Macaca fascicularis: one gene and its partner. The main gene of each other region encodes a partner of the protein of the gene in region 2 in a complex. Links are inferred from orthologs where the notes say so. Each region holds a gene or a part of one and is shown on either strand. Other genes may lie near its edges.

Evidence for each region.
Region 1: the proteins of LPL (region 2) and GPIHBP1 are in contact, whole or in part, in a crystal structure (PDB 6OAU), measured with the Homo sapiens proteins. The link is inferred for Macaca fascicularis from reciprocal best matches to the Homo sapiens genes LPL and GPIHBP1. Residues at the interface, in NP_000228.1 of Homo sapiens: Tyr367, Gly368, Thr369, Ala371, Glu372, Glu374, Leu403, Met404, Lys406, Lys430, Lys440, Ile443, Cys445, Ser446, Arg447, Glu448, Val463, Lys464, Cys465, His466, Asp467, Ser469; in NP_835466.2 of Homo sapiens: Cys68, Lys69, Ser70, Leu92, Ala94, His95, Gly96, Asn97, Thr98, Glu99, Ser100, Leu103, Thr104, Thr105, Ser107, Trp109, Cys110, Thr111, Asp112, Ile117, Lys119, Val121, Glu122, Thr124, Val126, Met128.

What each region holds. Positions count from the first base shown.
Region 1 is NC_088382.1:152,863,267-152,867,818, reverse strand, and holds the start of GPIHBP1 (glycosylphosphatidylinositol-anchored high density lipoprotein-binding protein 1), read right to left. Parts: upstream 2,978-4,552; 5' UTR 2,935-2,977; coding exon 2,883-2,934; intron 2,442-2,882; coding exon 2,313-2,441; intron 1,312-2,312; coding exon 1,198-1,311; intron 1,057-1,197; coding exon 797-1,056; 3' UTR 1-796.
Region 2 is NC_088382.1:23,021,500-23,025,306, reverse strand, and holds part of LPL (lipoprotein lipase), read right to left. Parts: intron 3,321-3,807; coding exon 3,200-3,320; intron 1,656-3,199; coding exon 1,473-1,655; intron 587-1,472; coding exon 482-586; intron 1-481. UniProt on the Homo sapiens protein: Key enzyme in triglyceride metabolism.

The DNA of each region.
Region 1 (4,552 bases), about 130 Mb from region 2:
GCCTCAGGTGCTGTCCTAAGCCCAGTAGGTACTGACCCTTGATGGTCACTTCAAGGTGACAGGCACCCACCCAGCATCCGGCCCTTCCCCATCCAAGGCTGCAAGGTAACTTTCCAAGCCAGGGTCTCCCATGGCGGTGCTCATGCCATAGCCAGACAGGCTCCGCTGGCCCCATCCTCTCCACACTTGGTGCCTGTCCCCCCAGCCCCGCACTGCCCCTCCGCGTGTGGCCTCACCCCGACCTGCCTCCCTGTGCCCTCTCATCCTCAGCCCGCCTCCCCTACTATCCTGCCTCCCCCAGGCCCGTCTTTCCTAGGGGTGACTATAGCCTCCCTCCAAGGCCTCTTCCCTCCAGACAGCCGGGAGGCTGACCTGGGGAAAGGCAGGGCGGGCCGGTGTGACCGCTGCAGATGGAGGAATTCCTGTGGCAGAAGTTAAGGGTGAGGATTGGGTGTGGGGGCCCCCAGGCATGTGGTGGGTATCATCTCTGCCTAGCTGTGCTGGTGGGGATCCCCAACCCCCATGAGGGTTGCAGGCCCTGGGGCGTGGTGGCCAAGGTCTGGACCCAGCGCCCACGTGCTGCAGTCCTGCCACTCACAGGCGGTGGGGAGAGGAAACCAAGGGCAAAGCCGGGAACTGAGGAAGCAACCGGGCCGGCGGGGCTGTGCTGGCTGGATTGCCCAAGACACTCTAAATTCATTCTCCAAAGCTGGTGCAGGGGCAGGAGGGGAAGGTACCCGACAGAGTGCTGGCAGGGAGAGGGGTGAGTTGGGTCGGGGTGGGGAGGGGCCGTGGGTCAGGGTCTCCCGGCCCCCATTGCTCCAAGGCCAGCGAGGAGGTTGAGCAGGAGGGCTGTGCCTGCAGTTTCGCAGCTGCCCCGGGGGCCGCCTGCCCCCTTGCCTGGTGGGTCCTGGACTCGGGAGCTCTGCCAGGGTGGGACATTGCACAGGTTGAACTGGCAGCAGGTTGTGGTCACCTGGGTCCCCTCGACCGTCTTGGTGATGGGCTGGCAGTTGTCTGTACACCATGCAGAGTGGGTGGTCAGGAGGCCTGACTCTGGGGAGGGGAGTGGGGAACAGATGCTGAGGATGGGCGGGGCCTCCGAGGTGGCTCTACAGGGCTCTGTTCAGGGCCCCTGGCTTTCCCGCCACCTGGGGGTGCGTGTGCTGCGTGTGCTGCGGCCCCACGCCAACTTACCGGTGTTCCCGTGGGCAATGAGGGTTGTGCAGGCCTGGCCATGTGAGCAGCTCCGCGTCAGGTTGCAGTGCTCGTCCCTGGACAGGGACTGGCAGGTATAGCACCACAGCAGCACTGTGGACAAGGTGGGCTCAGGCCCAGGCCGGGTCCATGTCCCTATCCACCTCCCCATTCTCAGTTGTGCTCCCAAAGCCTAGCCTGGTGAGCCTCCAGCACCCACTGCTCAGACGGGCGGGCCACCCCGACTCGGCCCTGTAAGCCGTGCTGTGTGCGTGAGCCTGTGTGTTTAGGGGCAAGGGATTGCGGCCCAGGCAGGGCGAACTTCCCATCGTCGCTCACCTCCTGTGACAGTGCTGCCCAGGCTCCTGCTGTGGGCATGGAAACCTGGAGGCGAGTCTGACTCAGTCCTGCCTCTGGGAGCACCGGGCCTCACAGAGGAGGGCCTCACAGGGGACACCTTGTGGGTGTGTGGGGCAGGGCTTGTGCTGAGGGCAGGCCTGGGGGCCCTGGGAGTAGGGGTGGGCTGTGTGTGGTGGGCACGCTGGACGCCCTGGCTAGGGAGTGGTCGGCTTGAAGGTTGGATGCGGCGATTAGCTCTGCTTTGTTCTGGGGATGGGAGAGAGCAGAGGGTGGCCCAGCGTGTAGGGGTGTGTTGGACGAGGGGGGGGTGGGCTCTTATTAGCCCCACTCTGCTCTGCTCTAAGCGCTTCCCTGGTTCCCCTGCCTGCAGCAGCCAATCCATCTCTCCCCTGCACAGGACCGGCCCACCCTGCTGCTCTCTCTGCCCCACAAAACTGAACCCTACCCTGTGGCCTCTGTGCTTGCTGTCTCCACCCTGGGCCCCTACTGAGCCCTTCTCTGCCAGGTGAACTCCTGTTTAACCTCTACATCCTGGCACCACTGACCCTCCCAGCTGGTGGCTTCTTCCCCTGTTCCCTACTCTGGAACTGGGTGTCATGGTGAGTGGAAGAAGTGAGGGGTGCACTGAGTGTCCCCCACTCTGCTGGAGGCAAGCTCACAGCGGGACTGTGGCCTGTTGGCTTCCATCGCACAGCCCCGCCCAGAGTGCTCCAGGCAGAGCAGGCAACGGGGCCCTGGGGTTGGGGCAGCCGTACCTCTGCCCCTGCCACCAGGGAGCCTGTTGGTCTCCTCCTCTTCCACCTCGTCCTCATCTTCCTCGTCGTCGTCATCTAGCCTGTGGTCCTCATCCTCGTCCTCTTCCTCCTGCTGTGCTTGCCCTCTTCCTGGCCGTGCAGGGATGCTTGTAAGCCTCAGTTACCAGGTATGGAGGACACCTGCTCTGGGCAAGCATCACGCCCCCAACTCCTTGGCCCTCCCCTGCCACCCTCAGGCCCCAGGGCAGCCTACCTGGTGTGGCCTCCGGCCCCTGCACACCCTGCTCACTGTCCTGCAGCCGAGTGTGCCCTGGCACACTAGTTACAACAGCAGCTGCTGTGGGCTGGCCCTTTATGGTAGCCCCTCCCCGCACCCCACATAAACAGGAGCACAGATGTTTGGGGACTCTTGGGGTCCCAGACCAGCTTCCATCCACACCGCTCTGGGCTGGGGACTCCGGCCTCATCCCCTCCTTCTTCCTAAGCCCCTGCTGGGGTTCCCTGGAGGTCCCCGTGCTCCAGGACTGCACTCACTGGCCCCTCACCGCAGGGTTACCCTTTGCCCCGCACCTGGCTGTCCGCACAGCAAAAGGGCAAGCAGGAGAGCCCTGAGCACCTTCATCTCGCCGACGCTGCTACGTCCCCGACTCCTCGCGCAGCACTCTGGAGCTGCGATAAGTGGGATGAAGGGCATTGCCGTGGGCTTCCCAGTGGCCCCCACCAGCTCCAGCCTCAAACAATGGGCCTCACATGGGTCCCAGCTCCAGGCGCCAGGCCAGGGACTGTTGTTTCCCTCCAGGACCTCTGGGGCTGGAGGGGAAGGAGAAGTCATTGTGGTTGGCCTTGGAGCGTCCCGTGCACCTGTGCCAGCGGTTGGAAGGCGGTGCTGGCCACAGGAGCTGCTGGCCCTGGCCTGCCTTGCTGCTCAGTGCCTCAGCCCTGTAGTGCAGGGCAGGGAGCCTTGCCCTGGATTGGGCCATGCCTGACACCCCCTAACCCCATGTCTGGGCTCCATAGTCACAGGAGCTTGGGGTCACAGACCCTCTATTTGCTGATCACTGGCCAAGCATCTTCATTCCAGAGTCAGCATCACACCCAGGCCCCTTTAAGAGCATTTAAATAAAAACACAGTCAGTGCCCTCAAGCTAAGGCTGTGTGCTCACCTCCTCCTCACCCACACTCAGCAGTGCACTTGCTGGGCCCAAGGCCTCCCCACTATCACCTCGGGTCTTTGCCCCTGCTGTTCCGTCTGCAGTGCTGTTCCTGCTGGTGTCCAGTGGAGAGCTTTCCGGAGCTGTTGGGGGCCCAACCCTTGGCCTTCTGCTGGGAAAGCCATCAGCCCCCACCTGCCTTCTGGCCTTGTGTGAGAGAGAGGCTGCTCTGGGAGAGGCTTGGAAAGCCCAGGTCCCTCCCTGAGGCCACCCTCTCCTCCCAAGCCCCTGCCCAAGCCCCTGGGGGTGGGATGCAGAGGGCAGAGTCTCCTGAGGGTAGCAGAGGGGTGGGGCAGCGGCAGGGGCTGGATGGGAGTCTGGAGCCAGGGTCAAGCCTGGGCGTCTGTGTGCCTTGGCGCTTGGGTCAGGCCCTTCACCTACTGAGGCCTCAGTTTCCCTGACTGTCAATGGGTGGGGTGGGGCTTTCTGGCCGGCCACCTGTAACAGAGGTTGAGTTGGTTCTGGAGTGAGCTGCCTGGGTTTAAGACCCGGTTCCTCCTTCCCCTGGCTCTGGGTCCTGGACGAGCCCCTGGGGTTCCCCAGGCCTCAGCTCCCTCATAGGGTGAGGTGACCATCAAGGGTCAGTACCTGCTGGGCTTAGGACAGCGCCTGAGGCTGGGAATATCTGTCTCTGATGTCTCAGCCACTGAGTCAACCATCCCTCCTTAATTCACCTGAACCTGTCATTCTTCCATTCTTCTCTATCAGCACCCACCCAGCATCCAGCCCTTCCCTGTCCAAGGCTGCAAAGTCACTTTCCAAGCCAGGGTCTCCCATAGCGGTGCTCATGCCACAGCTGGACATGCCCCGCCAGCCCCAAACTCTTCATACGTGGTGCTTGTCCCCCCAGCCCTGCCCCTCCCTGCCCCTCCCGGTGTGACCCCACCCCCACCCGCCTCCCTGCGCCCTCGCCCTGCCTCCCCCACGCCCTGCCTCCCCCACGCCCTGCCTTCCCATCGCCCTGCCTCTCCCACACCTCACCTCCCATCGCCCCGCTTCCCTGGTGCCCCACCTCCTCCACACCCTGTT
Region 2 (3,807 bases):
GCTGTCCTGGAGTGCGCTGGCGCTTGCAGAATCAAGAACTATGTGGCTACAGGTGATGCAATGAAACCTTTTCATTTCCCTGAATACATCCTGGGAAGAACTGCACCCACAGCCAGAACGGCAACTACTAAACTTGCGTTACATGCTCTGCAGATGGGATTTGCAAAGACAGCAGAGACGCAGTAGAGAAAAACGCAGAAGTGAAGATTCAGGGGTAGTTCAGGGAGTAAAATAAAACCTAAAATGTGTGCCTGGGATGAAGGTCAGGGCTGGGAGAAACAACAGAAAGAAGAAAGAGGAAGTATTGCAAAAAGCAACAGACCCATCTGATACGTATGCAGAAGGACTAAGAAAGACTGAAGGCTTTGATCACATGAGTCAGGACAAGCTGCTGGTGATAGGGTGAAGAAGAATGCATGAAGCTGCCTCCCTTAGGGTACAAGCTCAGGATGCCCGGACAGCTTTAGCCCAGAATGCTCACCAGCCTGACTTCTTATTCAGAGACTTGTCATGGCATTTCACAAATACCGCAGGTGCCTTTCCTTTTTGCAAGTGAGACACTTTCTCCCTAGAACAGAAGATCACCCTGTGGAAGAAAATGGATGTGACTATGCCATGTAGAATAATCAAAAGCCCTGTTCACAAAGGTACAGTTCTGTCAGGACTGTTTAAATACTACGTGATCGTGCTGGGTGATTGTTTTGATATTCCCAATAATTAACTGTCACACTCAGGCCACATCAGAATCAGAGGGTAATTTGAGAGCCTAACCCAGTGTTCACCAAACAAGCTGGTTAATTTAGATAGACAGGCATGCAGACAGCCTAGAGCAGCCTTATATCACTGGGCTTTCACCAAGAGATGATAAAAGATCAACCCTGCCATCTCTTAGCATCTGCCTTCAACTGGACCTTGCTAGTGAAAAAAAGATTCTTTATAACATTTCCATCCCATCCCCAAGATCTTTCTTTTTCTTTTTCTTTTTGGTGATACAAGCAAATGACTACTATAGCGTTCTCTATGTAGTTCATTTTATGGGTACCCATGGGTGAGGCTGCATAGACAGGTTGACATTATCTTGGAATCTCATCCCCCTTGAAGAGGTTGGTTTGAATCTTTGATTATCCAGGTAACATCTCGGAGGTTTGTTCCCCAGCTATTTTGTGCTCACAAGAAACAGTGCCAAATGAGAAGCTTAGATTCTTGACTTCTAATCCCAGCGCTCACTGAATAACTGTGAGCGATTCAGGGCTTATGTTTTCCTTACATGAAATACAAAAATACTGTCATTTTCCCAAAAAATAAAATAATAAAATAAAATAATACTCCTAAAGAAAATCTACATCATATAGTAATAAATACAAGGTTTCCTAAAGCTCTCCCTGAATCTTGAAGGCCCCTGAAATACAACCGGTAGGTCATGACATCAGGTGGGCGTCTAAAGTGAATGAAAAAAAAATACATTTAATTACTTTTTCTGAGTCTCTCCGGCTTTTACTCTGATCTTCTGAATGGCAAAGCCGGGACTGCTCCACCAGTCTGACCAGCTGAAGTATGAATCGCTCTTCCATTTGAGCTTCAACATGAGTAGTTCTCCAATGTCTACTTCTGTGTAAATTAGGAAGGAGTATGTCTTATTTGTGGAAACTTCAGGCCTAAACAAAAAAGCAATAAATTTGGTTAGTTATAGAGATCAGCTCTCCCTGCGCCCCCCCACACTTTTTTTCCTCCTCTCCAAATATAAATAGCTTTATTGTTTAGGGGATATTTTAAAAATGCAAAAAATGCCCAACAAAATACTCAAAATGAAAGTTGATGGCATTTAGTGTATTTTAAATTATATCCACATCCCTTTGATCTATTCCAGCATTTATCCTAATGACATGAACTATTTAATACAATTCTAAAAGAAAATCCTGAAGTCAGTATTCAGAAATATAATTTTCATTTTCATGTATTCTTTTTCAATTTGTATTGATACTTGAACATTAGTTACAATCATAGCACACATGCAATTCTCTATTCTTTATTCTCTTTATATTTTATATTCTATTTTTTACCATGTTTTCCTGGTTTCCCAGAATTATAGTTTTTATAGGCTAGATCAATTTTATTGACTTGACAAACCACAGTTCATTTAACTACTGACTCAATGTTGGATACTGGATTTCTAATTTATGCTAGTATATGTACCACTGTAATTGATGTTTTTAAAAATGTTTGTTGACTATTTCTTTAGGATAAATATTAGAAAAAAATCACTTCCTTCTATGTAATAACATTTCGTAGCTGTGGAAAGTTATTAACGTACTGCCTACTGCACCTAGAGGGTTCTAGCCATGAACGATGCGCAGTAGGTTCACATGTTCTGCTTCACCACCTTGTCTGCACTGGCTATTTTAAAGATTTGTTCTTCTAGTAATTGTAAAAGAATATCAAGTTGCCTTAATTTTATAATTTGATTAATAGTAAGGGGTAGGCTGGGAACAGTGGCTCACACCTGTAATCCCAGCGCTTTGGGAGGCCAAGGTGGGTGGATCACCTGAGATCAGGAATTTGAGACCAGCTTGGCCAACATGGTGAGACCCTGTCTCTACTAAAAATACAAAAACTAGCTGGGCATGGTGGCGGGCACCTGTAGTCCCAGCTACTCGGGAAGCTGAGGCAGAAGAATTGCTTGAACTCGGGAGGCGGAGCTTGCAGTGAGCTAAGATCACACCACTGCACTCCAACGTGGGTGACAGAGCAAGACTCCATCTCAAAAAAACAAAAAACAAAAAACAAAAAAACAAAAAAAGAAGTGCTAACACTTTGTTATGGACTTGTTACTACTTATATTTTCTATACACATTATATATATATCTATAGAGTGGTTTCCTGTTACTATTGCTCATTTTCTTTAATGTCAAACCTTTTGAGATAATTTGATTGTATTGTTTAACAGCAGCTTTATAAAAGAAATAAGCAGATACAAGATGATGAATAAAAAAATATAACTAGTAAGTAAAAATCAAATGACCAATTTAAAGCATTTTTTTTTCTCAATATAAAATAGAGGAAAGACCTCAATTTTGAAATTCTGATTTTTTAAACTAGAGACTTGTTTTCTAGGCATCCCGCTCTGCCTCTGCTGCTCAGACCGAGGGTTATGGCAGGGGAGGGAGCAGTGCCATGATGACTGCCCCCGTGTGCTACTCACAGGGTGAATGGGATGTTCTCACTCTCAGCCACGGTGCCGTACAGAGAAATCTCAAAGGCCTGGTTGGTATGGGTTTCACTCTCAGTCCCAGAAAAATGAATCTTTACTTGGTAATGGAAGACTGTCGGGGAGGAAATTGGAACATGCTGATCAATCTTTATGAAAATACCACAACCCCAAACAATCAGGCAATTTAGAACTACAGAAAGTATCTCACTAGCACTCAAACCAGAAGTTCACACACATGGAACCACTGGTGTTGCTTGGAAAGACTTCATCATGCACAATGTTCATATTTAGAAAATGCAGACCTTGAATTCTCCTCCCTTTCAGAAAAGTGTGGTTATATGCTTAGGGTCTGAATTGCCAAGCAGCACTAGGAAGTAGCCATCTTTGATGGAGTGCTAGAGAGATCAAATCAGCAGGCCAAATAAAACACTCATGATGCTTTCTCCATGAACTCCACCATCCTTGGCCGTCTTGTCCCTTAGCATCTGGAGCAAGTATATTCGGCATTTGCTTCTGTGTCACTATATGTCACTGTGTTTGTTTCATGAGTAGGTCTGTCCTTCCACCCTGGCTGTAAGCAGGCTTCTGGTCAGAGGACC